4 linked regions of the Caenorhabditis elegans genome follow. The protein of the gene in region 3 purifies or fractionates together with the protein of the main gene of each other region. This does not show direct contact. Each region holds a gene or a part of one and is shown on either strand. Other genes may lie near its edges.

What was found.
Region 1: the proteins of sftb-1 (region 3) and sftb-2 fractionate together in Caenorhabditis elegans (co-fractionation; one large-scale study listed by BioGRID). This does not show direct contact.
Region 2: the proteins of sftb-1 (region 3) and gsp-2 fractionate together in Caenorhabditis elegans (co-fractionation; one large-scale study listed by BioGRID). This does not show direct contact.
Region 4: the proteins of sftb-1 (region 3) and snr-3 fractionate together in Caenorhabditis elegans (co-fractionation; one large-scale study listed by BioGRID). This does not show direct contact.

What each region holds. Positions count from the first base shown.
Region 1 is NC_003283.11:126,520-134,356, reverse strand, and holds sftb-2 (PSP proline-rich domain-containing protein), read right to left. Parts: upstream 6,121-7,837; coding exon 5,830-6,120; intron 5,782-5,829; coding exon 5,004-5,781; intron 4,167-5,003; coding exon 3,523-4,166; intron 2,906-3,522; coding exon 2,810-2,905; 3' UTR 2,686-2,809; downstream 1-2,685. Other genes in the region: W03F9.2 (C2H2-type domain-containing protein), read left to right, coding at 6,406-6,462, 6,519-6,576, 6,627-6,889, 6,936-7,268; W03F9.1 (Zinc finger protein ZPR1 homolog), read left to right, coding at 7,708-7,728, 7,779-7,837.
Region 2 is NC_003281.10:7,333,878-7,340,649, forward strand, and holds gsp-2 (Serine/threonine-protein phosphatase PP1-beta), read left to right. Parts: upstream 1-2,709; 5' UTR 2,710-2,745; coding exon 2,746-2,797; intron 2,798-2,853; coding exon 2,854-2,985; intron 2,986-3,111; coding exon 3,112-3,342; intron 3,343-3,400; coding exon 3,401-3,615; intron 3,616-3,664; coding exon 3,665-3,778; intron 3,779-3,825; coding exon 3,826-3,960; intron 3,961-4,014; exon of another isoform or gene 4,015-4,125; intron 4,126-4,189; coding exon 4,190-4,312; 3' UTR 4,313-4,888; downstream 4,889-6,772. Other genes in the region: F56C9.10 (BCAS3 WD40 domain-containing protein), read right to left, coding at 1,121-1,240; kap-1 (Kinesin-associated protein), read left to right, coding at 5,124-5,193, 5,258-5,330, 5,777-6,014, 6,370-6,481, 6,574-6,719. UniProt on the Caenorhabditis elegans protein: Serine/threonine-protein phosphatase essential for chromosomal dynamics during meiosis and mitosis. During meiosis, promotes chromosomal cohesion and germline immortality via a small RNA-mediated genome silencing pathway.
Region 3 is NC_003281.10:4,262,133-4,271,905, reverse strand, and holds sftb-1 (Splicing factor 3B subunit 1 domain-containing protein), read left to right. Parts: upstream 1-2,635; 5' UTR 2,636-2,639; coding exon 2,640-2,783; intron 2,784-2,855; coding exon 2,856-3,135; intron 3,136-3,181; coding exon 3,182-3,844; intron 3,845-3,896; coding exon 3,897-4,640; intron 4,641-4,690; coding exon 4,691-4,778; intron 4,779-5,182; coding exon 5,183-5,417; intron 5,418-5,467; coding exon 5,468-5,737; intron 5,738-5,796; coding exon 5,797-6,732; intron 6,733-6,779; coding exon 6,780-7,208; intron 7,209-7,257; coding exon 7,258-7,323; intron 7,324-7,710; coding exon 7,711-7,824; 3' UTR 7,825-8,123; downstream 8,124-9,773. Other genes in the region: R10E4.1 (BTB domain-containing protein), read right to left, coding at 579-739, 785-1,278, 1,487-1,635; depd-5 (DEP domain-containing protein), read left to right, coding at 8,858-9,031.
Region 4 is NC_003280.10:6,488,331-6,493,489, forward strand, and holds snr-3 (putative small nuclear ribonucleoprotein Sm D1), read right to left. Parts: upstream 1,432-5,159; 5' UTR 1,424-1,431; coding exon 1,345-1,423; intron 1,131-1,344; coding exon 1,026-1,130; intron 981-1,025; coding exon 879-980; intron 832-878; coding exon 737-831; 3' UTR 501-736; downstream 1-500. Other genes in the region: plpp-1.2 (Phosphatidic acid phosphatase type 2/haloperoxidase domain-containing protein), read left to right, coding at 1-106, 157-256, 302-420; rsp-5 (putative splicing factor, arginine/serine-rich 5), read left to right, coding at 1,839-2,026, 2,078-2,329, 2,657-2,735, 2,781-2,888; T28D9.11 (uncharacterized protein), read right to left, coding at 3,478-3,663; T28D9.1 (uncharacterized protein), read left to right, coding at 4,076-4,197, 4,588-4,711, 4,760-4,855, 5,061-5,108. UniProt on the Caenorhabditis elegans protein: Plays a role in pre-mRNA splicing as a core component of the spliceosomal U1, U2, U4 and U5 small nuclear ribonucleoproteins (snRNPs), the building blocks of the spliceosome.

The sequences.
Region 1 (7,837 bases), on a different chromosome or scaffold from region 3:
TAAGTATAATCATGACTAGGTTTGGTCAATTTTTAAAATTTTCCAAAAATCGGGTCCCGCCACGAAAAGTGACGAAATTACAAAAAAATTCCTAAAAAATCTGAATTCAGCTCATTGGGAGCTTTCGAATAAGTATAATCATGACTAGGTTTTGCCAATTTTTAAAATTCTCCAAATTTCGGGCATCGCCACGAAAATGAGGTTACTGTAGCATTTAGCATTTTCTTGGTGGGAGCCGATTTTTGAAAAAGTTTATTCAAATTCAGCTCGAAAATTAAAATTTTCCGCTGAAAATTTAAATTTATCGGCAAAAAATTTTTGTCAGCAAATTGGAATTTTCGAATAAACTTGAGTCCCGCCACGAAAAGCGACAAAATTAAAAATAAATTACTAAAAAATCTGAATTCACCTCATTGAGAGCTTTCGAATAAGTATAATCATGACTAGGTTTTGACAATTTTAAAATTCTCCAAAATTTGGGTCCCACCACGAAAAGCGACGAAATTAAAAATAAATTACTAAAAAATCTGAATTCACCTCATTGAGAGCTTTCAAATAAATATAATCATGACTAGGTTTTTCCAATTTTTAAAAATTCTGCAAGTTTTGGGTCTCGCCACGAAAATAGGGTTACTGTAGCTTAGCAGTTTCGTGGTGAGAGCCAATTTCTGCAATTTCATGAGTTTATTCGATTTCAGCTCGATAATCTAAATTTTTTGCGAATGAATTGTTATCTGAAAATTTGAATTTTCCGCCAAAAATTTCAATGTTTTAAATGTTTTAAACAATTTACAGCATCCAACCAACGCAGAAAGCACGACCGCTGGCAAGAATCAGGAGAAAGGTATTTTCTTTAATTTTTAAATTATTATCACAACAAAAAAATTATTAAAATTCAAAAATTAAAGTTATAACTACAGTACCCCCAGAACACTAACTTTCTCTTCGAGACCCAAAAAAATCAGTTTACTCTAACTACAGTAACCCTACAGTAATCCTAGAATACGCATAACTTTTTAACTCCATTTTTTACAGATAAAGCTGCATTTGGTTACCTCCTCGAGTACACGAAACGGAAAAATGTGATGCCATGGAAAGCGATGGGAATAACGATGGGAAGGCAATTTGTAGATGGAAACACAGGAGGGACAGGGAAAGAGTTAGTGGCAAAGCTCTATCCTCTGCAAACGGACGATGTCAACCTTCAAGCCCAGGCCGAAATTCAAGCCTATGCCCGCCTCATTCCAGTCGCCAAACGGTCTCCCAACTTTACGCCTCTCAAGACGTCAGCTGTGGTTTAAAAACTTCCCGAAGAGTTGCTGCCTGACGATGACATAGCTCACATGCTTGTTTTGGTGATGGAGAATGCCGGATCGCTGTTCGGCCAGCGTGACCTGACGGCGGACGTAGCGACGAGCATCCTACGTCAATTCGTCTTGTCGACGATGCTTGCAAATAAAGCCGGGGTCTTTCAAAATGATCCAAACTTCGGGAACTTGCTTGTGAAGGAAACCAAAGAGGACCAGCTGGTGTTCAAGATGATGGTGAGTTGCTAATTTTTTTTCAAAGATTAGGAAAATTTTTAATTTCAGTTCCGGATCCCACCAGCACACCACACCAAGATGTTGCACAAGTGGCTCAGGATTTGAAGGAACTCGCGGCGTCAGTTGCAGATCGTGATGTTTGTGACAATCTGAAATCCATAGTTTAAAATAATTATTTCAGAAGCTTGAACGTACTTTTGCTGGATGTGTCACAGCCACTTCAATGCAGGACATCTATAATAGCGACTTGTTCAAGGACTGATGGTGGGATCTTCACGACTCTGCTGCGAAAAATTCTCGCTTAATTAAACTTTCTGTGATTTCTGTTTTAATTCATTCCTGTCATAAATACTCGATTTATAAATTTTTTCCCCATTTTTTTCTCCTGGTTAGAAAGAAAATATTTATTTTTCATATTTATTTATTTTTCGTCTTCTTCATTTGCTCCAAATCCATTTCTCTATTGAATTCTTCTGTTGTTGAGCAGCTCCAATCTCTGAAAATTGGTAGATGGAAAATTTAGAAATTTTTTGAATTTCAAAAAAAATTGCTTTTTTTTATATTTTCCAATTTTTCAGATTTTTTAATTTTTTTTAATCTGAAATTTTAATTAATTGTTCAGTGAAAGTACATTAGAAAAATTAGAAAAAAAATTACTGCAAAATTTGAATTTAGCTGACTATGTTTTGCCAATTTTTGAAATTCTCCAAATTTTGAGTCCCGCAACGAAACGCATCGAAATTTCAAAAAAATATTGCAAAATCTGAATTCAGCTCATTGAGAGCTTTGAAATAAGTATAATCATGACTAGGTTCCTTTAACTTTGGAAATTTTGGGTCTCGCGACGAAAATGGGGTTACTGTAGCTTGACATTTTCGTGGTGGGACCCGCTTTTTGCAATTCTAAAAAAATAAAGTTTTTTTTATTTTCGATTATTTCTGGAAGCAAAACGAAACACGTTTTTTTTAAAATTAATTTTCTAAATTTACTTATGATTTTCGACTTTTTTTAATTTTTATTTTTTGAGAAACCGAAACATTTTGAAATTTATTTTTTTTATTTTTAAAAAATTATTTTCCAATTTTTGTGCACTTTCAAATTCTTATAGTAAAACTTTTCCAAAAATGTATAAAACTCTCAATTACAGAATACATTTAATTGAAATTGTGGGGCGATTATTTGGGGTGACAGAAAAATTGGAATTTAAGCTTAAAAATTACAAAAAAAAAGAGAGAAAGAAATAATAAATTAAAACAATCAGATTTTCAAAATTTGAAGTCCTTATGCTTCTTGCCACTGGATCCTGACGACGAGGATGATGACGTCTTGTTCTTCTTGTCATCTTGAACTTTGCGTTTTCTCTGAAAATGAAAATTTAATTTTTTGAGACGATATTTTTTTCTATTTTTTCAATATTCACTTTTACAGTACTCATATAGTATCCCTACAATACTACAACGAAGAAAAGAAAACACTTTTTTTCAAAATTACAGTACTCCTACAGTATACCTAAAGTCCATAATCCCATCCATTATCGTTTCAAAAAGAAATATTTTTTCAAAACTACAGTACCCCGGTATCTCCACTATTTTTTCAAAATACAAAAACAGTACAGTATCCCTACAGTACCCCTAAAGTTTTACTACTACTACAAAACACCTACAGTACTCCTGAACACTGGTGTCAGAATGTCTCTTTTCGGTTTGATCTCCGAAAAATGCGGGAGTAGAGACGCAGAGTTCTCAACTGATTTTGCATGGTTAAAAACGTGCCGCCGTCATTTTTTTTTTGGGCAAAAAATTCCCGCATTTTTTGTAGATCAAACTGTAATGGGACAGATTGGCACCGCGTGCTGAAGTAATTTTACAGTAATCCTACAGTACTACTAGAGTACTTTTACAGTAAAATTAGGGAAATTCCAACAAATTTCAAATGTTTCTTTGAATTTTCAAGAAATTTTTTTTTTCGACACACTAACATTCTGTTTGGCAGCGTGCTCAGCCACCATATCCGTCAAATCCTCTCGATCCTCATCATCATCATCCCGATGCTTTTGCTTTCGGAGCTGCTCCTCGTACCGAGCCGCCAGTCCTTGCTCATCCATATCAATAGACTCAGGATCCAGCGAAATCTGAACTCCATCGTCACGAACCGCATGCTTCTTGGAAAGATCATAAGTATGGGAGGATGCCATCATTTGTCCACCGATACGTTCGTTCTTCTTCTCCGGAATGATATGATAGGCAGCCGCAGGAGTGTCTGTTCCGAGCACAGAGCTCTCTTTTCCTTTCCGGAGCTCAATCGTGTCAGGAGTCTCGATTCCAGTGATTCCAGTCGTCATTCCAGATGGTGTGATCATTCCCTCAACCGGTGCAGGTGTCTGGAATCCTCCTTCAACATCAGCATCATCATCGTCGGCATGTTCTTCCTCCTCCGACTCTTCCTCGTCACTGCTCTCGTCGGATCCGATCTCTCCCCAATATCGCCGCTCGATTTGCGATTCGTCTTCGGGCTCGAAAGCTGGAGCGGCCAATCCGAACACGTCTCCGTACAGAGGATGTCCGTACTCGTCGACTGGTGGTTTTCCCCAACCTCCTGCGTGATAGCCGAATGCGCAGCCCTCTGAAAATTTCAATTTTTTTTCCATTTTTACGGCTTTAAAGTTGTAGTCGAAATTTTTTATTGCTTTATTAGACTCGAAATCGTTTAAACTACCGAATTTCATAAGCACACTTTTTTAAAACCTCAAAAAAAGTTATGGTGGCTCAAAAAATGACCTACAATCCGTTAAAATTGAAAATTTAACCAACTTTTCAATGTGGCATCTCCCAAAATTTACCAAAACTTGTTTTTTTTTTGAGTTTTTAATTGATAAATTTGGAAAAATTGATCAAAATATAGCACCTCGCATTAAACATTAATTTGTCGTGTCGAGACCCAGTATCGTATTTTTTGCTTGAAAATCGTGAAAGAAGTTATTTTTTATTTTTCTAAATTTGATTTCATAATTTTTTCAACCAAAACCAAATTTTTTCTGAATTTTCAGACATTTTTTTTTCGTAAAATGTATTTACTGAACATAAAATTGTCAAGTTTGTCTTAATTTCTTTCAGGATAACATGTTTTTGCGAAAAAAATATCTGAAAATTTCATAATAATTTTTTTTGGCAGAATTTATGAATATTTGTGTGTTAAATTATGCGAAGAAAATTTTTTATCAAAAGAAAATTATTTATCATTTTGCAAAAATTTGGCGCTTAAAGCGGGTCTCGCCACGATCTCAGTTCTTGTGGTCGGTACAGGTGCAAAAATTCACAGATTTGTTAATTTTACGTTGAAAATGAAATTTAGCAGGCAATTTTCTAGGTTTTTGGTAATTTTATGTTGAAATGTAAAATTTTTCATAATGTTTTTTAGATTTCTGCTCTAAAATAGTACATCCAGAACATTTTACCGTACCAGGAATCGGCGCATTCAATCCAGGAATCTTAATATGCGGAAAACTGGGCGGTGGTCCGTAACGTTGCATCGCAATCAACCATGGCGGTGGAAACTTGAACGCATTCGATCCGATGGGCATTCCCAGTGCAATTCTAAGCTCATCCGACATTTCACCCGGCTTCTTGTCTCTCATCATCGCCTCCATCTCTTTTCCTTCATAGTAGAGCTCGCCCATTTTTGTCATAGCCGGCTTGGTTTGCCATTTGAAGAACGCGTCGTGAAGTTTTTGATAATCAATATCGATTTTTCCAAGCTTCGGGCGGGCCCGCTCTCTCATTTTTGATTTAAGGCTCTGGCTTTCTTCTTTTTCCAGCAGCGCTTCTCTCATATCCTGAATTCCGGTTCTTTTAATAAAATCTGGCAACTCAAATGGTGGCCGTTCGAATCCTCGCTTTCCGGCGAGATATTTACGCTTTGCATTCCAATGGCGTGGAACTGGAACTGAATTTCTATAAGATTTCATTGCGACAAGGAGATACGGATCACGAGAAGTCACATCGGCCCATTCAACAACATCGGCTCGAAGTGTCGTCTCTTTAAGCTTTGCAATACTCGGTTGAAGAGAAATTCGGAGTTTTCTACGCGAAAGCTTCTCCTCTGTGTTTTCTTTGGCACGTTCTTCCATCTCCTCTTGAATAATTCGCTCGGCCTGACCGACTTTTCCCAAATCATCCTTTTTCTCGCCTTTGGAAACGTGATGGCCGTAGGAGAAGCCGTCTTCTGAGTCGGTGGAGATCTGGAAGCCGATATATTGGAAAAACATTAACAAATAGTGATATGTTACCTTAAAAGCATCAAAAATTGCGGAAAAGTATTGAGCGTGCGGGTTATCCGGCTCAATTTCAATTGTTTCACCGATATAATCGATTTCCACGTCAAGATCGTCACCATTTTCCTCCTCTTTTTTCGGCTCCTCTCGTGTTTCTATTTCAGCTTGCTTCGTGGCTTTTGCTCTCTTCTTCGATTCCTTCTTCTTTTTGCTTTTCTGCTGTTTTCTCTTCAACTCCTGAAGCTCCTTTTTAGATAGGTTCTTGTTAGCCTCATCGTCTGAATTGTAGTCATCCTCGCCTGACATCTGAAAAAGGAAAACATTTAGTTGAAAATTGAAAAGTTTTCAATGAGGAAAAGAGGTTTTTAACCGCAAAAACGTTGAAAAATCTAAAAATTCGCAAAAAAAATTTAATTCGAAGAGTACGCAATGGGTCGGTGTTTGCGTACCAAACACTGAAACCGACGCCAAATACTCTCCGTCTCTCATTTTTGCACACTGTTTTATCATTGAATTTTCTCTTTTTTTTTTAAATTTTTTTAAAGCTTTATAATGCTTTAAAAAGATTAAAAACAGAAAATTCAGGTTGAAATGACAGAGCCATCTACATCAGGAGCCCAAGACCATGACGATTATCTAGTCACTCTCGTGAGTTGCAAATAAGCTGAGAAATACTGCCATTTTTTATAGATTTCTTTTTTCAGAGCTCCCCTCAACGCCAGTGCACCATCCGAGTTGTTCAGCCAGCTTCTGCATTAAAACGTGATTATTTATAAATATTATTTGTGAAATTAATTTTTTTTAACCTTCAGGAAAACTCCCAACTTCATCAGTTCCCGAATTCAATCCAGACTCCTACGGGGAATCGATTCCCGAAAATGCTCCAAGGCCTGTCTGCGAAACCTGCTCCGTGGCCTGGTCAACATGGGCGGCATACGAGTTCCACATGCTCCAGACTCATATAATATACCGCCCGTTTCGATGCTCTGGATGCCGGAACTTGAATTTTCACACCGAAGATGAAGGAAAGCACCACCTGGAACATTTTCATGGTGGCAAACCTGGCAGTTTTCAGGTGAAATTTAGTATTGCGTTTTATATTTTATTTAATTAATTTTTAGCTCATCAAACAGACGGATTTTGCAAAGGAAAATCAGTTGATCGAATGTCTGGAAAATGCAAAAACCACCGAGCAACTCGGAATTTCGAAAGAACGACTTGAAAATGGGCTGAAAATGATTGAAAAACTTCAAAAAATCAAGTTTAAAGCTGTGAAAGTGCATCTTCCATGCTGTCTTCGCCATGAAATGATCTCAAAACACACAGAAACTGAAAAAGAAGCGCCGCCACAAGAAAAATCGGTTACAAATGCTCAAAAGCCCGGCAATCCAGCACTTCTGTCTCTGGAATCCCGAAACTACGACTACGAGCAACAAGATACTGTTGGAATTTGATAAAAATGAAATATTCATTCGATTTTCCGTCAATAAAACTTCATCACAAGATTTTTATTCGTTTTTTGAAATAAAAATAAAATACAGATTTTAGCGCAGACATTTAATGTTTTATTCATTTTTCTCAGTTTCTTCTGCTACTTTGGAAGCGCTTTTTTTGCGAAAAAGCTTCAGTGACACAAGATAGGAAGGCTTTACAAGAATGTGTACTGAATTCTAATTATTAAAAAATTTTATAATTAAAAACCGCGAGGCACAACGCGAAATGAAGAGGCGCAGGCGTTTGTCCGCAAACACCGTCACGCAACTTTGCAGACTTGAATTTTTTTTGTTTTTCTTTTCCAGATTTTTCCAGTTTTTTCCAGATTTCTCTCTAAAATTAATACTTTAAAGCAGATAATTTTCGATTTTAATCAACAAATTCATTTTTTAAAGTAAAATGGCTGCGGATTCTCAAGATGTAAGTGTTTTTGCTAGAATTTACGGCACAATTTCCTAAATATTTTTCAGATCTACAGAAACTTGTCAGCAGATGACTATGAGGCTGCTCCAATTGTTGTTGATAGTGT
Region 2 (6,772 bases), 3.1 Mb from region 3:
TTTGTTCACACTTCAAATTGAGAAAAAACAGCATATGGGAATAGATGATGTGTTATAATTAACATTGAACGTGTACACTCAAAATAATAAAACTGCGTGGCGTGTACTGCAGAAAACCTAATATTTAGGCCCCGCCTTTTAATCGTCCACTCACGGGGAAAAGACAAAAATAGGGGAGGGGGGGGGGGACAGCTCGCCACGCCAACAGTGAGAAAAATAGTGTGGTGCGCGGACCTCGAATGATGTCGGCGGCTGATATTGCCTGGGGTACGGCTTTTTGCGTTTTCCCCGTGAGTGGACGATTAAAAGGCGGGGTCTAAATATTAGGTTTTCTGCAGTACACGCCACGGAGTTTTATTATTTTGAGTGTATGTGTTAGGGTCAGTGGTCACCTGATGATGAAATGAAAGTCAAACCGATAGAGGAGTGCCAATCAAGTGGAGAAGAAAAGAAAGAAAATATTGGAAAATTTCATGAAATCGTGAGTGAGACGCAGACACTGTTATGGTGCTTTCACAATGTGTTGAAATTGTGCAAAACAGGTGGAAGAAATATTAATTTTTGACAAAAAAAGTAAAATATATTTGTGTATTTTTCAAATTTACCTAGATTCAAAAATCATTTGAAATGACGTATACCTAATATTTTTTATTTTGCGACGAGAAAAAACTAAAAGTTATCTTATGTTTGATACTATGTATACATTCGTATGCAGAAGCCAAAGATACGTTAACCGGCCTTGACACGACTCGTTGCTACGGAATTTTTTATCGAATTTGTAAGAAAAACTATAAAAAATTTATGTAAACTCCACACATCGAAAGTTTGGAATTACAGTACTATTTAAAGGCTCACATTCAACAAAAACTTGTCGTGTCCAGACCCAGTACCGTTTTTTGGCACGAATTTTCGCGTCTGGGTAGTACTATAAGAAAAACATTCGTTAGCGTTCCGAATCTATTAAGATTTTATCTATCTTTGAAAATAATTGCATAGTTTCGATGTTTGCAGCGCTTTAGAAAACGGAAAAATCCGTTAAACGGTTTTTTAAAGGAGATTTTTTGAAATTCGATTTTTTTAACTTTTAGTTTTGAAAAATCATTATGAAGTAACACTTTACCGGCTGTTCCTCTTCTGGTAGCGGTTGTGGCTGTGTTTGTTGATGTTGCTGTTGAGGGCGTTGATGATTCTTCTTGTTCTTCTTTTTCGGGCCCCCAACAGAGTTCGCGTTTGGCGGCATCTTCTTCGAACTGTGCAGATTATCGATTTGTTCAGAAAATGTGGTGAAGAACAGAACACAAACAGGAACAGATAGGATAGAACGAATGAGAAGAGAGGACAACAAAAAAAAGAGAAAAAATAATCAATAGGAAGATGTGAGAAGATAAAACAACAGAGATTTTGTTTTTCTCAAACTTTCAGGTAGATCAACGATCTATGAGTGTCTGATCCGACAAAGGTGCATTGTTACCAGTGACAGAAAAGCGGCAGAAGAATCGAAATCATGCCCTTCTCTTTCTCTCTTTTCACTTCTCACGTGTGCTAGACATGACATGGGGAGAAAACGACAGAAACTGCAGTTGGTCACGAGGGACTAGAGGGAACAGGCGACGCAGAGAAATGGAGGGAGTTGTGAGGAGGATGGAGAAGAAGGCTTCCATGAGCACCACACTTCTCGCATCTTTTTTGCTGATTTTTCTCACTCCAACTATTTTTCTTTTTTCTTATTTCTTATTGAACTTGACTAGACATCAATCGATTTTTTTAAATGCTCACTGCTCATTTTCTAACTAATGCTTCAATATATTTTCTGAACGAATTCATGGATGCAGAAGTACCAAAGTGTTCATATATTTCTAGCTAAATAATATATAACTTTTGAGTACTATAATAATCTCATATTTCAAAATGATTCATAAGTAAAAGTTTTATCAAAATATGCTAAATAAACTTCTTATAACTACGTTTTCATCTATTAAACTTTCACTTAATAAGATTTAATGCATCTTGTTCCCCATGTTTTTGCATCTGATCATAATTGCTGACAAATCGTGAACGAAGAACAGTGTATTTGTTATATTTACACATTTCAATCTCTCACCACCAACCAATTTCTCTGCCATCTTGGTCGAAAACAAAGTGACGAATTGGCGCATCATTCGATTATATGTGCCCCGTTTTTGACAAATAGTGAAAATTTCAGGGAAAAGAGAAACTTTAAGCTTTATCTTCTAAATAATGGTAGAAATATTTTCCTCAATGTAAAATTCAACTTTCAAAGCCCTCTAACCAAGTTAATCCTTTTCGCGCGCTCTTTTTCAATTCAATACTAATGAAGTTCTGAAAATTTGAACGTCCCCTTTTTTTTAATTTTAACAAGAAGAAAAAATGTAGAAAAACAGATTCAAAATCATTAAATTAGCGGATAAATTCAGAAAAAATGAGAACATGTAAAAGCGCTCCACCGGCCACCGTACCCTGCTGAATGCGGCATTTTCGCGGCGAGACCCGCCACTCTTTTCATTCGTTTTGACCCTGTCGCCTCCAAATATCTTTCGATTTTTGACATGTTTGCTGCTGTTTTTATCAACTTTTCGAGTAATCACGCGATTTAAAGACGTAATTATCAAACTTTCTTTCTAAATTTTCCGTATTTTCACGTTTGTTGATTGACATTATCTCAAAGAGGTAATTCTATTCGTATTGCAGATCTAATTGGGTTGTTTGAGCGATTTCTCGCAACAAATGGACGTAGAAAAGCTTAATCTGGACAATATCATCTCCAGATTATTGGAAGGTATGTGTTTGTCATAGTGTTTATTGAAATTAATCTTAAAATGATTTCCGCTTCAGTCAGAGGATCCAAACCAGGGAAAAATGTTCAACTCACAGAGAGCGAGATCAAGGGGTTGTGCCAGAAGTCTCGTGAAATTTTTCTGAGCCAACCTATTCTTCTCGAGTTGGAAGCTCCGTTGAAAATTTGCGGTAAGTTCTATCGAAAAAAGTTGACGTTTCCTGCTATGAGTCATTTTACTTATTAGTATTTCCTTCCACAGGAAATTGCCGTTTTTATTTTTGATAATATATATTCTGAGAAAATATATTTTTCAGGTGACGTGCACGGACAATACTACGATCTTTTGAGACTGTTCGAGTATGGTGGATTCCCCCCAGAGTCGAACTACTTGTTCCTCGGCGATTATGTGGACCGAGGGAAACAATCGTTGGAAACTATCTGTCTCCTACTTGCATATAAAATCAAGTACCCGGAAAATTTCTTCCTGCTCCGAGGAAACCACGAGTGTGCCTCGATCAACAGAATTTATGGCTTCTATGACGAGTGTAAGAGTTTGATCTGAGATTATCTTAGTACAGATTTATTCAAATCTCATGTTTTTAGGCAAGCGGCGATACAACATCAAACTGTGGAAGACGTTCACCGATTGCTTTAACTGCCTGCCAGTTGCCGCCATCATCGACGAAAAGATCTTCTGCTGTCACGGAGGACTTTCTCCAGATCTTCAGTCTATGGAGCAAATTCGTCGTATCATGAGGCCGACAGACGTACCAGATCAAGGATTGTTGTGCGATCTGTTGTGGTCAGATCCTGATAAAGTTCGTTTGTGAACATAAAATTCAATGAATGATTACCATTTATTTTCAGGATGTCACTGGCTGGGGAGAAAACGACCGAGGCGTCTCTTTCACTTTCGGACCAGAAGTTGTTGCCAAATTCCTGCACAAGCACGATTTGGATTTGATTTGCAGAGCTCACCAGGTATTACTTAAGATTTTCTGCAAAGTTGCGAACCGAGAAATTTTCAGGTTGTGGAAGACGGTTACGAATTCTTCGCTAAGCGGCAGTTGGTTACATTGTTCAGCGCTCCTAATTATTGTGGAGAGTTTGATAACGCGGGATCGATGATGACTGTCGATGAAACACTGATGTGCTCTTTCCAGGTAAACATAGCGGTACCATCTATATAATTTTAAATACTGATAATGCGTATGCATTCACCAATGATGCAATGGTTAAATCAGACGAGTCTATTTTGGCTATCTATTCGAGTTCTTCGAAGAAATTGCCGCTAAGCGGGGTGAAATTGAGGCATTTGTCTGAGGTGATTTATTAAACGCTAAAACTACCTATCAAACATTAAAATAAAACAATTCGGAATATTTTTTTCAGATCTTGAAACCAGCAGACAAGAAGAAATATCCATATGGTGCTGGAGGAGTTGGTTCAAATAGACCAGTCACCCCACCACGAAACGCACCGGCTGCGCAACCAAAGAAGGGTGCCAAGAAGTAATCATCAGTCGATTTATCTATCATCTGTAAATACCTAACCTTTTCTTTGTTGTTCACGCCCCAAGAGGCCTCGGCCATCTCTCGTAAATCGGCTTCAAAAAGTTGTGTACATTAATTTTGATTTTAAACATAGTTTCGAAAAAGTTTAAATTCGATTCATTATGATCTAGGCTGGCACGAGAAGATGCTGTGGTCCCGGCGAATCTCCTCTCAATTCAAGCTTTCGTTGTCAACATCCCTTCCTCTTTATCTCTGTGGACCATTTAGAGCTAATGACTCCTCACCAATTGCTGGCTCAATTTTTCATCAAAACAATCCCCATTTTATTCGTTTTTAAATTCCAAATTTTAATTTTTTTTGCTAAACTTATCTCTTAAAACAGTATCAAATTTTACTTCTCTAAATGGTCTAAATATTTAAAACAAATGTTTATGATGTCAATCAATCTCCACTCCTTTCCTTCCTCCATTCATTCGTCCATCCCGTACTCTTCGTTTCTCAATTTTATATTGTTAAAACCCCCATTTGTCGATTTAATTCATTAAAGTTTTCCGAACAAATAAAATAGAACACTGGTACAAGCGTGTAAGCAATATTTCTTATTACAACGAGTGCAACGTCTCCAAGGAGAGCGTGCGAGACGAACAGACATCCCCCACGACTAGTGCTCCTCGAGCCGTCTCATCGATTTCTGTCGTTTGTCAGTTATTCAGAAATGCTCCGCCCCGGCTCTTCAGTAAGCTATAATAGGTAATCAGAATGAAGAGAAATATTTTTTGAGTTTTTTCGATTGATTTTCCGTGTTTAGCTCAATGAATCAAGTTTCAATAGATGCACACCCGTCAGATCAGGCAATTATTGTACGATTTGAACAATCTCCTAGTAAGTTTTATATTTTTATTTTCAATTGAATGTGTTACGAAGATTATTTGGAAGTTTGATTCAGGTTCTTCAGCAGGAATTTCAATAAAAAAGCGAGCTTCTTCAGCGAACGTTGAGTCTCTTGGCCATCAAAAAATGTAAGAATCTGATATAAAATATAAAATTAAACTGGAATGCAAATCTGCTTAACAAGAAAAATAAAATAAAATATTTTTAAGACCGTATGCCCACGAAGGTGCACGTATTCTTTCGGATGGGTCTCACCGCGAAAAATGTTTATGGTAACACTTTAAATTTTTTCTGTTGCAAAAACCACAATCAAGATACAGAAAAGTTATTTAATAATTGCTCACAAAACCCCGAATAACAGAAAACGCACGACCGAAAATAGCAAAAAGTGTTGACTTGAGCATTTTGCTCGCTGTGAGACCCATTCCCCATGAATCCATGCCTCTTTAATTTTTAGAATATTGGAAAATAACTGATAAAAAATAATAATCGAATATATATATATATGAGAACCTCAAAATGTCACCTGCATCTAACATTGTACGGCTACAAAATTACCCAAATTGTATTACAGAATCCACTTGAAAGAAATGAGTCTGGATGTAGATATTCGTGCTTTATCAAATGTTATTCTTCAAAAATGTCTTTTCATTCCTGCCACGTCACGAAGTCAATTGGAGCAGGTTTTGTTCTACATTCAAAAAAGAGGAAATCAACGAATAAGTGCGAGATCAAGAAGTTCTTCGGCCGTTTCATTTGATCGAAGGCCTATTCATAGTCCTACAATTAGTGCAGAATTAGGGAAAATAGATGTACGTTTTATAAGAAAACATTTTGTAGATTACGTAAAGTTGAGGAGCATTTGGTTTTATTTTACAAATACGCATAGGCTATATCAAAATTGAAAACATTAATTGTTACATGTTCTAAAATGGAGCAGCTGAAACAAAACCAAGCTCGCTTGAGTGCTTTTGTATCCGGTAGTACCAATATTTTAGAATCTAAAAATTTATTTCGAAAATAATCTGATTAGTTTAAAATAATCTTTGAATGGTTTTCTATACATCATTCAACATTTATATAAAAACAGATTTCTTATTATGGTGAGAGCCTAAAACCAAATAGAACTTGAAAAACTACTTTTGAAATTAAAAATGTATCTTTCAGGAGTACATAGAATGCTTCTACGGTGAAACTTCTGTTGAGAAAAACAAAGGAGCCGTGGCACTTTATGAACTTTCAAAAAATCCTCAAAACCTCACACAGCTTGTGAACAATGGTAGGTAATTCTAGAAAAGCTTACCCGATGACCATAATTTTCGGACGTAATCTATGTATTAAAGTTAACGTTCAAATAACACTACATTTCAGAAACTCTTATGATGGCACTGGCAAGAGTATTCCGAGAAGACTGGAAGAAACACTTTGAAGTTGGAACCAATATTATGAACCTTTTTGTGAATATTTCCAAGTTTTCATGTTTACACGGAATTCTGCTTCATCACAAGGCATGCATGGTTTCTAAACGCCTTCACTTCACCTGAATTTCGTTTAAAAGCTAGATTTGCAG
Region 3 (9,773 bases):
CAAGACGGGAATATGCAACAAAAGTAAATGGGCTATCACTTATGGTTATCTTAATTTGATGTACTTATATATATTGGATGAGATCTAATTTAAGTTTGGTTATTAAATTAGTTTACTAATTTGGCTGAAACATTTTTGGCAAATTTACAAAGTTGCCCCCCCCCCTCCTTTTAATATGAAAATCCAACTTTTTGATTTGATATAAAATGAATATAGAAATGTAGAAAACTATTCGTTCAATCTGAAAATAATGTTTATTTTTGCTCTAAACTATTTGAAAAGCACTTCAAATACTGCGTTAAAGTTGCCGTTTCCAGTTAAAAAGTTTTTGGCAAATGATAGCTTTCGAGTACTAGTTGAGGTGTTTTTCAAAATTTTAAACTCAAATTAATATTTTTTCCGATGGTACAACCCATTTTCTTCATTTCTATACCAGTTTTTCATTCATTCAATATAATGAATTATAACATTGAAACAAACAGTTTTGTAAGTTTTGCAGAAGATTTGCCGCCCACGCTTGTTGTAGATACCGGGAGCAATTCATAGTAAATTCCCCACAAGTCCACGTTTGAACGTACCAAAACTCTTTGCATCTTATACTTTTCCACGTAAGAGAAACATTTCTCCGTCTTCTTCTGATATTCATGATAATGTGCACACATGAACATCTCACACGCATCCACAATTGGTTGACATTGATAACGATCTGCGAGTTGGAGAAGATAGTCGAGGCTTTTCTCTGCAAATTTGATAATAATTCGATTCTCAAAATTGTGGAACATACTTGTAACAGGTTGTCTGTGTGGATAAATACATCTGAGGAAAGTTATAATCTCACGGAACTTCTCTTTCATCTCATAGATTTCTTTATCTTCACCCAATTCTCCATAGAATAATGCTTTAAAGAATGGAGACATCATTGACAGATATCTTTTATTCACACGAATAAGACGATCTTCAACTTTCAACAAAGCATTCTCTTCTTCTGGTAGAACATCAAAATAGTCGTAGAGCATTCCGAAGTTCATAGTTTTAATGACATTCACTGTGATTTCTACTCTCATACTTCTCAGCTTCTCTCGAACCATATGATCTTGAAGCTTCAATGGACGAAAGTAGACATGATTGGATCCTGTATATCGTCCAGTAAACTTTTCGCTTCTCACAGAGTTTGTAACGTGAGCCCGAATTTCGAATTCAACTTCCGCTGACCAGGTGGCTGGAGTTTTGAAGTAAGCAGCAAAGCATTCGAAGGAATTTGCACGCAACTCAATTTGCCTGACAATTCAGTTTTGTTATGGGATTATATTATTTCTCAGAAGCAACGTTGATCGATTTCCGTGCAAAAATACGGTTTCTCGAAACGACAATAAAGAGTACTGTAGTTTCAACTTCTTAAAAATTATGTTTTTTTTTAACCATAAAGCCAAAATTCAGCGTTTTTTCCAGAAAAGTGAACAATTTATCGTTTAGAAGTAAAACTGACCATTTCATACACTTCAAATGAATCCAATATCTGTAGACTTTGTGCTCCTCGTCTAGGACCAAATCAAGAGTCTTGCTACTCTTAAAATCATCACTTAAATCCACAATATCCACTGGATACTCTTCAGCGGCAGCCTTGTTCGGAGCCATTTTCAGACTTTACCCTGAAATTTTCGATAAGATTTTGTTGGGGAAAAAAGAATCTCATAAAAGGAGAAAAGGCATGAACTGAAAAAGAAGCACGTGGCAGACCGAAAAAAACGGGGAAATCGATAGAAAAGGGTTGTAGGGGCAAGGAGACATCTAAACAACACACATGCTATATGCTGCCCCAGTATTCTGCGTCTCTTCTCTCTCTCTCTCTCTCTATAAGAACGAGAAAGCAAAAACATGATAAAACCACTTAAAAAAATAAGAAAGCTTTTATTTTAAATAAAAATTTAAAAATAAGAACATTTTAGTTATGCTTCAATTTTAAAGTGGCCACAATGTTGGTGAAAAAAAATTAATTTTTAAAAAAGTTCACAATTTTATTGGAAATTTGCTTATAAAGTCGATATACGTCGAAAGAAACACTAAAAAACAACAAAAAACAGAAAAGACCTACTAAAACGAGCAACTCACCATATTCCAAATGAAATGTCAAAACTCTTGAAGTGAACACAATCTTCGATCTTCCTCCACTGATCGGAGAGCGCGCCAGCAGGTGCTGTTGGCGCGCGACCGGTGCATTGACGCGATTCTCGTGCAAAATTTCGAATGCAATTTTCGCCTTTTAAGGGACAGTTTTCAGTTATTTTACGTTTAAAAACTTTTAAATTATTTAAAAAAAAACAACAGAAAAACTTTAAATATTGTTGTCTGTCTGATGTTCATAAAAATTCGTAAGATAATCCATTATTTTTCAAGGGTATTAATATTTTAGTTTCTTGAGTGTATTTCTTTGAATATTGTTCATTGTAAAAGGATTATGGTTTCCATTTCTTTTTAGTGATTTCATTAATAAATTTTTGCAATTGTTTATTACAATTTGAAAATGGTTTCGCGCAAGCTATCGAAGTTTAGGATGTTGTTTTCTAAATCTTTTCTAAAAAAAGTTTTTTTCCTTCCAACTTTAATCTTTCTTCCATATAATCAATATTGATTGTAGATCGATGTCTCGTTCAGGCGAGGCTTATGCGCAGGAGTTGAACCGCAAAAGGGTCGCAAACCAGCGTGCCGCGGCAGCCGAAGACAACGATGAGAATAAGGGAAACGGAAATAAAGTGGCCTTCGGAGCCGCTGGTAATTTCGACACGGTTAGTGAATTCTAATACTTTATTTGAAAATTTGAAAATTCTCTATTACTTTTTGAATCTTTTCAATTTCAGGATGTTTACGGAAGTGTTCGTGGTGAAAATCGGGATAGTTACCTAGACTCGATTGGAACCGGAGAAGAAGATGACGTCGATGAGGATTCGATGCCGAGTGTACAAAAGAAAAGTACAAATTATGCACAGCCACACAAATTCATCGAAGAGGTGGCTGCTGCCTCCGAGGACACTGATCCATTCGCAGATACTCGCACAAAAACCATCGCAGAACGACAATCCAAGTATCACGAAAGAGCTATGAGGAGACAGATCTCTCCAGACAGAGCGGATGCTTTTGGTAAGATCGAAAATCATTTTGACTTTAATTAAATTTATTCTTTCAGTTGATCAAACTCCTGACAATCGGAATCGAGGTTACGCAGAAGTTATGCGTGATCAGATGTACCATGAAGAGAAAGGGCGTGTTGAACGGGAGCTTGCCGATCGAGCAAAAGCTGGAGAGCTTCATGTTACTGGACAGCCAGAGAAAAAGAAAGGAAGATGGGATGCTGAAGCTCCATCAACTGATGCATCTTCTGATAATCTTGGTGCAGCTTCTGCAACTCCATCTCAGGGTTCTGCTCCACGAAAAAGATTAGGATTTTCGAAGATTAGTGCAGATGCAGCAACACCAAGAGCTGCTAGATGGGATGAAACACCGGCTCACTCGACTGGAGCAGCTGATGCAACTCCTTCTGTGGATAAATGGTCAACGACTCCGGCAGCACAGACCCCGAGAAGAAATCGTTGGGATGAAACTCCAAAAGAGAATCTCAATGATGGATCAATGACACCGGGATGGGGAATGGAGACTCCTGCTAGAGGAGGATCAGATGATGTTAAGATTGAGGATACTCCATCCGCATCGAAGCGTCGTTCACGATGGGATCTGACACCATCACAAACTCCGAATGTGGCAGCAGCTACTCCACTTCATTCCGGATTACAGACACCATCATTCACACCGAGCCACCCTTCACAGACTCCAATCGGAGCAATGACTCCAGGTTTATTACAAAATATTGTAATTAATATAAAATTAATATAAAATATATTCAGGTGGAGCAACTCCAATTGGAACGGCAGCAATGGGAATGAAAACACCAGCTCCTCATATGATTCCAATGACACCTGAACAAATGCAAATTTACCGATGGGAGAAGGAAATTGATGACAGAAACCGTCCATTGACTGATGAAGAACTCGATTCACTATTCCCACCTGGCTACAAGGTTCTGGTTCCTCCAATGAACTACATTCCTCTGAGAACACCATCACGGAAGTTGATGGCCACTCCAACTCCAATGGGTGGAGCTGCTGGTGGAGGATTCTTTATGCCTGGAACACCAGATAGAGATGGAATCGGAGAGAAAGGAGTCGGTGGTCTGGTGGATACTCAACCTAAGAATGCAGAATTACCACCTCTAAAGCCAGATGATATGCAATATTTCGATAAGTTGTTGATGGATGTAGATGAGAGTCAACTCACGAAAGAAGAGAAAAATGAACGGGAAATTATGGAGCATTTATTGAAAATCAAAAATGGAACCCCGCCAATGAGAAAGAGCGGATTGAGAAAAATAACAGAAAACGCGCGAAAGTACGGAGCAGGTCCACTTTTCAATCAAATTCTTCCACTTCTCATGTCACCATCGCTGGAGGATCAAGAACGGCATTTGATGGTAAAAGTTATTGATCGAATTCTATACAAATTGGATGATCTCGTCAGACCATATGTGCATAAGATTCTTGTCGTCATTGAGCCACTTCTTATCGATGAGGATTATTATGCAAGAGTTGAAGGTTTGAAAATTTAGAATAAATTTTAAAATTTAAAAATTAAATATTTTCAGGTCGTGAGATCATTTCCAACCTTGCAAAGGCCGCTGGATTGGCAACAATGATTTCTACAATGAGGCCTGATATTGATAATGTTGATGAGTAAGTTTGTCGACAGTTTTGTTGATTTTTCAATTAAACAAACACCAAATATATGGTTGTTCAATTTTCCCTGGAAAACAGTAAAAAAATTGAAGAAATATTAAAAATTAGTTTGAAACTATAGAAAATCTGGCAACTTTTGGCCATTTTTGAGAACTTTCTGAAACGTTCCAGCTGAAATTAATGTTAATTTCAGATTAATCAAGTGATTTTCTATAGGTTTACACTAGTTTTTAATTTAAAAAAGTCCGAAAAGACCGAATTTTTTCAAAAAAAGTTTTAAAAATGTATTTTTTAGATTTTTAAAAATCTCACTATGAAATTCGGTATTTGCGGGTCAGTTTTAATGAATTTAAAGCAGAAAAAACATCACAAAGCTTTTAATCAAACCCAAAAATTTGCAGATATGTCCGTAATACAACCGCTCGTGCATTCGCTGTCGTCGCCTCAGCTCTCGGAATTCCAGCTCTCCTCCCATTCCTTAAAGCTGTGTGCAAAAGTAAAAAAAGTTGGCAGGCTCGGCACACGGGTATTAAAATTGTTCAACAAATGGCCATTTTGATGGGTTGTGCAGTATTACCACATTTGAAAGCACTTGTTGATATTGTTGAAAGCGGATTGGATGATGAACAGCAAAAGGTTTTCTTTTTAATTTCTAAAGTTTCTGGAATTGATGCAAATCGTTTCAGGTCCGAACTATCACTGCTCTCTGCTTGGCAGCTCTCGCCGAAGCTTCATCTCCATACGGAATTGAAGCTTTCGATTCAGTGTTGAAACCTCTTTGGAAAGGTATTCGTATGCATCGTGGAAAAGGTCTTGCTGCATTCCTTAAAGCTATTGGTTACCTGATTCCATTGATGGACGCAGAATATGCTTCATATTATACAAGAGAAGTGATGCTCATTTTGATTCGCGAGTTTGCATCGCCAGATGAGGAAATGAAAAAGATTGTTTTAAAGGTGAGTGATATAATAACCAAAACATTCGTAGAACTATCGTTTAACATTTAAATTTGCAGGTTGTCAAGCAGTGTTGTGCAACAGACGGAGTAGAAGCGAGTTACATTCGAGACGAAGTACTTCCAAGCTTCTTCAAAGCATTCTGGAATCAAAGAATGGCTATGGATCGTCGTAACTATCGCCAATTGGTTGATACAACTGTGGAAATTGCTCAAAAAGTCGGATGCGTTGAGATGATTGCTCGAATTGTTGATGATTTGAAGGATGAAAATGAGCAATACAGAAAAATGGTTATGGAAACAATTGAGAATATTGTAGCGTTGCAAGGAGCGACTGATATTGATGCTCGACTTGAAGAACAACTGATTGATGGTCTTCTTTATGCTTTCCAGGAACAAACTCAAGAAGATTCTGTGATGCTTGATGGTTTTGGAACAATCTGCTCAAGTCTTGGACGACGTGCCAAGGCATATATCCCACAAATCTGTGGTACTATTCTGTGGCGTCTCAACAACAAATCTGCAAAAGTTCGTCAACAAGCTGCTGATTTAATTGCCAGAATTGCACCGGTTATGCATATGTGTGAAGAGGAGAAAATGATGGGACACATGGGAGTAGTATTGTATGAGTATTTGGGAGAAGAATATCCAGAAGTACTTGGATCAATTCTCGGTGCATTGAAAGCAATTTGCAATGTTATTGGAATGACCAAAATGACTCCACCAATCAAAGATTTGCTGCCAAGATTGACACCAATTTTGAAGAATCGTCACGAGAAAGTGCAGGAGAACTGTATCGATTTGGTGGGAGCAATCGCTGATAGAGGATCTGAATTTGTATCTGCAAGAGAATGGATGAGAATCTGTTTCGAGCTTCTCGAATTGCTTAAAGCTCACAAGAAAAGTATTCGAAGAGCTGCAATTAATACATTTGGATTTATTGCAAAAGCTATCGGACCACATGATGTTCTCGCAACGTTGCTCAATAATTTGAAGGTAGGCTCGGATTAGAAGTGATTCTTTTAAAATAAATTATTTTTCAGGTCCAAGAACGCCAGCTCCGTGTGTGTACAACAGTCGCCATTGCCATTGTTTCGGAAACTTGTGCCCCATTTACAGTACTTCCAGCAATTATGAACGAGTATCGTGTACCTGAAATTAATGTACAAAACGGAGTTTTAAAAGCTCTTTCATTCATGTTCGAATACATTGGAGAAATGGCAAAAGACTACATTTATGCAGTTGTTCCGCTGCTCATTGATGCATTAATGGAAAGAGATCAAGTTCATCGTCAGATTGCAGTCGACGCAGTTGCTCATCTTGCTATTGGAGTTTATGGATTTGGTTGTGAAGATGCACTTATTCATTTATTGAATTATGTGTGGCCCAATATGTTGGAAAACTCACCGCATCTTATTCAACGATGGGTGTTTGCATGTGAAGGAATGCGAGTTTCGTTGGGACCTATTAAGGTTTTTATTTTAAATTCTTAATAATTTCAAAAATTAAAATTCATTTCAGGTTCTTCAATATTGCCTGCAAGCTCTTTGGCATCCAGCGAGAAAAGTTCGAGAACCAGTGTGGAAGGTAATTATTTTAGTTTCCTTGAATTTTCAATTACAGAAATAGTGGAAATATTCGGAATATAGCTTTTAAAATATTTATAGAATGTTTCTAATTTTTTAATGATTTTTTTCAATTGAATTTTTATTTTTCAGAGAAAATTTATTTTTATTGTGAAATATCTTCTTTTTTTTCGACCAAAAGTGAGCGACCGGAAAAATTGAAAAAGGAAAAAATTAAATACAGGTTGCGCGGGAATTCAAAAATGTTTTGGTACTTCTCAAATTTTCCGCAAAATTTAAAAAAAGATTAGAAAATTTCTATAAATTTTTTAAAATTTGTATTCGGAATATTGAGACGTTTTTTCCACAAGCGCTAAATTTTTATGTAATTTCATATTAATATTTCCAGGTCTTCAACAACCTAATTCTTGGCTCCGCAGATGCTCTTATTGCCGCCTATCCACGTATCGAGAACACCCCAACAAATCAATATGTCCGCTACGAACTTGATTATAATCTTTAAATAATTTTCTAATTTTTGTTTTTTTTATTTGGATCTCGATAACTTATTTTTCTATCTCCGTGTTCCCTCCCTCCTTTCATCACATTTTCATAGAAAACGAAACCTTTTATATTTTAATCCCATTTCCCTCCAAATATTCTCTTGAATCTAGATTAATCTAACAAAATTGTTTTGGTTGTCAGTGGTTTTTTTTTGTTTTTCTATTACTTTTCTCCAATATCAATCAATTTATTCCCAAAAAAAAAAACAACAACAACTCTTGCGATAGATATTTAAAATGAAGACTTGTCAAATTATTTTAATGTTTTAAAGAAATCCCTTTTTTTTTGTTGAAGTCAAATTTCGCTTATTTTTTCTCGTTTAAAAATTTTTTAAATACCTTAAAAAATATCAGAGTTTCCTAATACTCTCCAAATATAAAAATAATTTTCTAATTTTATTTTTGGCAAAATTATCTTTAAAAAAGAAATTTTACAAATTCTTTCAATATTAGTTCCTTAAAAACGAAAATTTTGCGCTTTTTGCAGCAACAGTACAGTGGCTGGTCTCGAAACGACAAATGTGTATTAAATGCAAAAATGGTGTGCGCCTTTAAGGATTACTGTAGTTTAAGAATCTCTTTGTTACGGAATTTTCATCGATTTTTCATAATCTTCTTTCAATTTTTATTTTTCTAATCGAAAAACTTTTGTTTGCACAGAATTTTCATCGATTTTATCTCAAAAATATATTTACTCATACAAATATTAAAATACTTAAAATTTGAACAAAATCTATGAAAATTATGCAGCTACGATATTTTTGTTAAACACATTTTTGCATTGAACTAAAATTGTCGCGTCGAGACCGGTTACCGTATTTTTTGTACAAATGTTCGCGTCTTTGTAATAATTAAATTCTCTGAAAATTAGTTTTTCTCAAAAAATCGATTTTTTTCAGTCATCCCTTCCAAGTGAGCAAAAGAATTTCGAAAATCTTCGTTCAAAAGCGCAGGTGCTGCTTTGGTCCGTGAAGGCGGTGTGGATCCACGGGGATGGCGTTCGAAATAGCTGGACCCAGCAGCAGCAATAACTCAAGTCAACGGAGAGCAACCACTGAACCACCGCCTGAAAATGAGCTACAACTTGGACTTCACGAGGCACAGAAGATGACATGGAATGCTAAAGTCGTGTATCACACGATCGACAAATGTCCGCATTGTGATCCGGTTCGTAATGGATAGGGCACAGAATTATTCATTAAAATACTGAAAAATTAAAATTAAAGTAAAGTTAAAATACTCAAATTACCTCAATAGACCGGTTTTGATGGATTAAAAATTCGAAAATAAACTTCGATGAACTAAATTCTCCAATTTCTCAACTTCCGTGTAATTTCTCAACTTCCGTGTTGATGAATTAATTTTTATTTAATTATTTACTTTTGCACGTTTTTTTCTCTCTTTTGCATTTTCTGATGATTGGAACGATAATCTGGACAATTTTCACTGAAAATACGCAAAATAAAAAAGTTATTAAATAAAAATTAATTTGCGACATGGAAATGTTGGTAAAATTCGAAGATTTTAAGCAATGTCCAATTTTTAGATGATTTTCATGAATTTTCCAAAAAAAAAACAGCTGAAATTATATTTGAATTTCCGCACAATTGTATGTCCAGAAAATGCAGAAATTTCGAAATTAGGCAATTCATTTGCTTGGGAAATCAAGTTTAATTCAGCCGGTTTTTTAAAAAATTGTTTCGGAAAAATCTCTACTCCTCCCTTTAGCATTCTTTTTTCATTTTTAGGCATTTTTATGATGCTTCATTTTGAAATTCAGTCTTTTTGTAATTTTGATTTATTTTATTTTAGTTTTTCCAATAATTTTGATCAGTTGCCGGCTGTTAGTTGTCGCAAAATTGGTTTTCTGGTTATTGACAATAATAAAGTATTTTTCAGAGCAAAAAAA
Region 4 (5,159 bases), on a different chromosome or scaffold from region 3:
TATGATTGGACTTGGAATTAGCTTCTCCAGAATCACTGATAATAAGCATCATTGGAGCGATGTTCTTGTCGGAATTTTCATTGGAATATTCTTGGCTGTTTACACTGTAATATTATTATGAGTGTTTGGGAACTTTCGCATTTTTTCTGCTTTCAGTGTACCTTCTGGACAGATTTGTTCTCAAACAATTCAACTGAATCTGAAACACAACCTCTTCTGCTTCCTCGACCACCCCGTACTCCCAGAAACTCTGAAGGTTGGTCCATCGTAAATTTTAACTCAATTACATATTTTTTTCCAGATGAGGAGCGACATCGATTGGATGCAGTTTTACCTTCTACGGATAGTTCTATTGTTTTTGAAGCTACTGGACCGCAGGACTCGGATACAATTTTGTTGCCGGTTCCGCAAAGTGCATAATGCAATTTTCTTGTTTTTATTCGAATTTTTTGTTTTAAATATAAATAATTTTTGCCCTTATGTTGTTGCTCTTAATGCTTGAATTGAAGAAATTTATAGAGATCAGAACGTAACAACAAAATAAAGTACAGTTGTTCTCACGGGCTGCGAAACTTGGGAAATTTGTGTTGACTCGGAAAGCCGTAATAAATTATTTCAAAAGATTTAAACAAAAGTCAGCAACTTTAACGGGAACAAAATGTGAATTAAACTTGAGGAACGTGATACAAAAGTATAGGACGTTCGATACTCAAATTTGCTATGACCCGATGATAGCTTAACGACGTGGACCGCCTCCGCGTGGTCCTCCGCGTCCGCGACCACGACCTCCTCTTCCTCCGCGCATTCCACCACGACCACGTCCACGTGAAGCTGAAATAAAAATATTAATAATCTGTCGAAAAGACGCTTAAAGCTACCTCCGGCGCGAGCGGCACGGGCCTTCTTTCTTGGTTCATCGTCGATTAAAAGGGTGTCAAGAGCGAGTGGATCCGGCAAAATGATGTATCTGATGTTGTTACCTGAAAATCTTAAATTATATTTATTCAAATATGATTTTTAATAACCTCTGATTGAAAGCGTGTCGAGTTTGACTGGCTCCTTGTTCTTAACTGTCATTGAGACGGCACGAAGATGTGTGTTCATCGCAACATCGACTCCCATGATAGTGCCTAAATAAAATCGATTTAGTTGTTTAGTTACGTTTTTGCAGTAATTAAAATTATACAATATTATTCGGATTTATGACTTTGAAAATGTATCCTAATATAAAAACACTATAACAAATGTCGAGCAATTCGTGAAAGATTGATTTTGGTTGGTTAATAACTCAACTTCTCGATTAAAACACTTTCAAGCAGACAATTAATCTTAAAAAATACTCACCGGACACCTGAGTACCGTTCTTCAATTCAATATTGACGGTCTCGTGAGACAACTTCATCAGGAATCTGACCAACTTCATTTTTCTACCTGAAATACATACAATTATAGAAGAATAAAAGGAAACGATGGAATTCAATAGAAAATACGACGATAAAAATAACTTTTAACTGATAAGAAAGAGGTTATGACAAATAAAAACATCTGCATCAAGGAAAAATGTTTCAAAACAGATTTCCAGTGACTGGAATCCAGTCATTTTGAGCACATTCGAAAATGCAAAAGACTTGGCGGCATGCCAAGTGGTCTCGCAACGACTAGGAGTACGGTCGCACTCGTTTTCATGTGTGCGCTTTTGATAGAATTTCTTTTTCTTGACTTAGGACTTTCTCTTCTTAAAATTGAGATTGATTTCTCGAATTCATGTGTTTTTTTTACTGGGCTTAATGAACGGCGTTTAATAAATTAATTTTTGAATATAAAGTGATTTTCCAGAAATGCCGCGCCTCTATCTAGGAAAAATTCCATACAATGCACGCGAACGCGACGTTGAGCGATTCTTAAAAGGATATGGCAAAATTAATAACATCTCAATGAAGTATGGATTTGCCTTTGTCGATTTTGAAGATTCTCGTGATGCTGAAGACGCATGCCATGATTTGGATGGAAAAACCATGGAAGGAAGGTAATAAAATAATAAACCAAAATTAAAAATGTTCTAACTTTTTATTTTCAGCTCTATGCGCCTTGTCGTGGAAATGGCTCGCGGAAAACCACGCGGCAATGACCGTCATGGATCGAGATCACCACGACGACGTTCCCGCTCTCCTAGACGTCGTTCACGTACTCCACCAAGAAGACGTTCCCGCTCTCGTGATCGCAAACGTTCTCGCAGATCCCGTTCCAGAAGCTCCTCCAGATCCAGATCACCAGTTCGTGAAAGTCGTCGCAGAAGCGAATCCCGTTCGCCGAGCCCGAAAAGAGACTTGTAAGTTAACTTTAATGTGTGGATTGTTTTGGAAGGGTGCCACATCACGAACCGTTTTAGCCACAGTTCAATGAGAAATCAATATCACCTACAAGCCCACATCGCAATGGCATACACATAGCTGAGACAGTTCGAGCACAGTATGGGTCAACTATCAATACATTTCAATTCACTTCTCGTTCAGTCCCCACAGTTACCAAAAGCCGCTGTTTCGATTAAAAGAGTGAGATCCCTAACTTTGAATCAGACAACTTCGCGCAAACATATCGGTTTCGTATTCGAGTCCTTTAGATTCCGACTCTATTAAATGCAAGAATTATATTTTAGGAAGCGTGAAGCGTCGAGATCTCGTTCACCACTGCCAGCAAAAGATCGAAGCAGAACCCGAAGTGGATCTCCCCCAAAGGTAATTCATTTATGTGCTTGTATAGTAAAAATCATATGGTTTCAGAACGGCGGAGATAGAAAGCGCAGCGTGAGCCGTGGAAGAAGTCACAGCCGAGATGGCAGCAATCGCAGTGTGTCTCGCTCTCCGTCTCCAGGATCTCCAAAGGATTAAAATTGTGTTTTTATACCGTTTACTGTTGTTCATTTACCACTTCTATTTTATAATATTTGTTCATCCTCAGAGCTGTTCTGATTTTAATAATTCCCGAATAAAACCGAGCGGAGACTTCCTTCATTTTTTAAAAATATTTAAAGGCACATGGTATTATTCACACAGGTCTCACCACGATTACTTCAACTACTGTACAATATTGGGGAATTTGAAGGTCGAACGCAATTTTGGGCTAATTTACTGCTTTGTTATTTTTACTGTTCTGGAAATTGCCGTTGTACTTTTTATAGTCATTATTATTAGAAAAAACCTTTTACGAGATTTTCGAGCTAATTTTTATACTCATATATTGAAATAGAACGCAAATTTTCGAGTTTTCTAAACAAAAAGCTTATCGTTTTCTATTCTCTAAATTGAAAAGAGTTGCAAACTAGGACAAAAACCGAAAAAAAGGCGAATTTTGAAAGCCTGCGAGTGATGTTTCCTTGAAAAATCTCGTCGAACATTTGTCGGTGTGTGTGTATTTGCCCCTTTTCGTTAGTTTTGTACAGTTAATGTTTACTAAATCTCGCGTTTTGATAATTACTGTTTAGATTAATTCACACCGCACGAAGCATGAATTTGGCACAGTGCCAAGAAAGCAGTCGACGAGAGGCTCTTGCGCAGCCGACGTTTGGGGCGGGGCCGTTTCGTTGTCGTCCTCTCGTTCTCTTGCCGGCGACGAGGCAATTCGAAACTCGCGGCCATCGCATTGAGGCTCTCCTCCCCTCCTCATTCTTCGTTTCGTCCGCTGTTGAGGAGTGTGAGTAGGACACCGCTTCCTTCGACCAGCCGGCCGCCTCTAGCTGTCCAGTGAGCGTTGCGTGAGTGTCAGGCACAGACTAGGCCGACGGTGGACGGGCGCGCAGCGCCGGGCCCTGTGAGGCGCGAGAGCCAAATAATAAGATGTCTCTTTCCGCGATAGAGTTGTTCGCGCTCTTCCTAGGAAAAAGTTTTCTAGAACATCGTTTGTGTTTTTGAAACGACAACACATCTAAATTAAAAAAAAATTTTTTCCTCAGTAGCAGATTTTTAATACAATAACTCGATATTTTTTTCTCAAAACTCAATGATATTTTCAAATGTTTCTTCTATTTCTCATTCAGATTTATTCACCAGCACTACATTAACATTTGTTTTACAGAAAAATGTCCGACGTTGCCGAGACTGTTGTCGCTCAAGAGCCAGAGGTTGTCGAACCAGTCGAGGAGAAGCCAACCGAGACTGGATCGGACGATGTCGTTGTGATTGATGAGAAGACCAGTGAGCAGTGAGTTTTTGTTTCATAATTTGCGATTTACCTGTGCATTTTTCTAAAACTGTAGTATATAGGTCAATTCTATGGAAATCGCGAGCCACTTTTTTGTATCCATCTGCGCGCGGGCGTTGAGTGGTGTTTTCCTTCGAGGTCACTCGTAAGACGTGAATAATGTGGGACGGTCATAATGGTAGAAACTGTTCTGTGAAAAACTGAGGGGTCATTCATATTTCTTTCTATGCCCTTTTATTTGTTCATAGTATGTGTATTGGTGCAGTGTGCAGAAGGCATGGTGCCATAAAGAAGACAGGCGGCAATGGTGAAAACAAATACGGCGTAGGGTAGTGAGCAGGCAACAGATTGCACTAATCCGTTTCTCTACAATTTATACTATTTTTGTAGGAACGGTGAAAAGACAGAGGAGACTCAAGCTGAGGCCACCGAGGAGAAGAATGAGACTGAGGCTGAAGAGGCCGATAAGGATAAGGCAGTCGAGAACGGAGAAGCAAAGGACACCAACGGCAACGTAAGATAGTTATATATTATTTTTGTTGACCAATTTTTATTTTTGCAGGATCGTAAGCGTGTGTCCAGCGCCCACGAAGAGGCTCCAGTCGCCGACGCAGAGGAGGATGCTCCATTGACCAAGAAAAGCAAGGTTGAGGATGAGGTGAGAACGAAGGGCAGGAATCTAATTAGGCATTCTAAAAAGATATAGGATAGGCGTATGCGACTTAGCACTAATTATGGGATATATCGGGGCGTAATGTGTGCGATGTACACGAGCAGTTCTGATGAATTCTTTATGAATCGCTTCATCTTCCGTTAGGGACTAATATTCAATGTCATTGTCAATAATTCGATTTCCCTTGCAGGTTGACGTCGCAGCCTCTGGAGATGCCCCAGCTGTCGCCGCCGAATAGGTTGCTTCCCAACAACAAATGCCACTTCATCCTTCCTCAAATTCCCCGTTT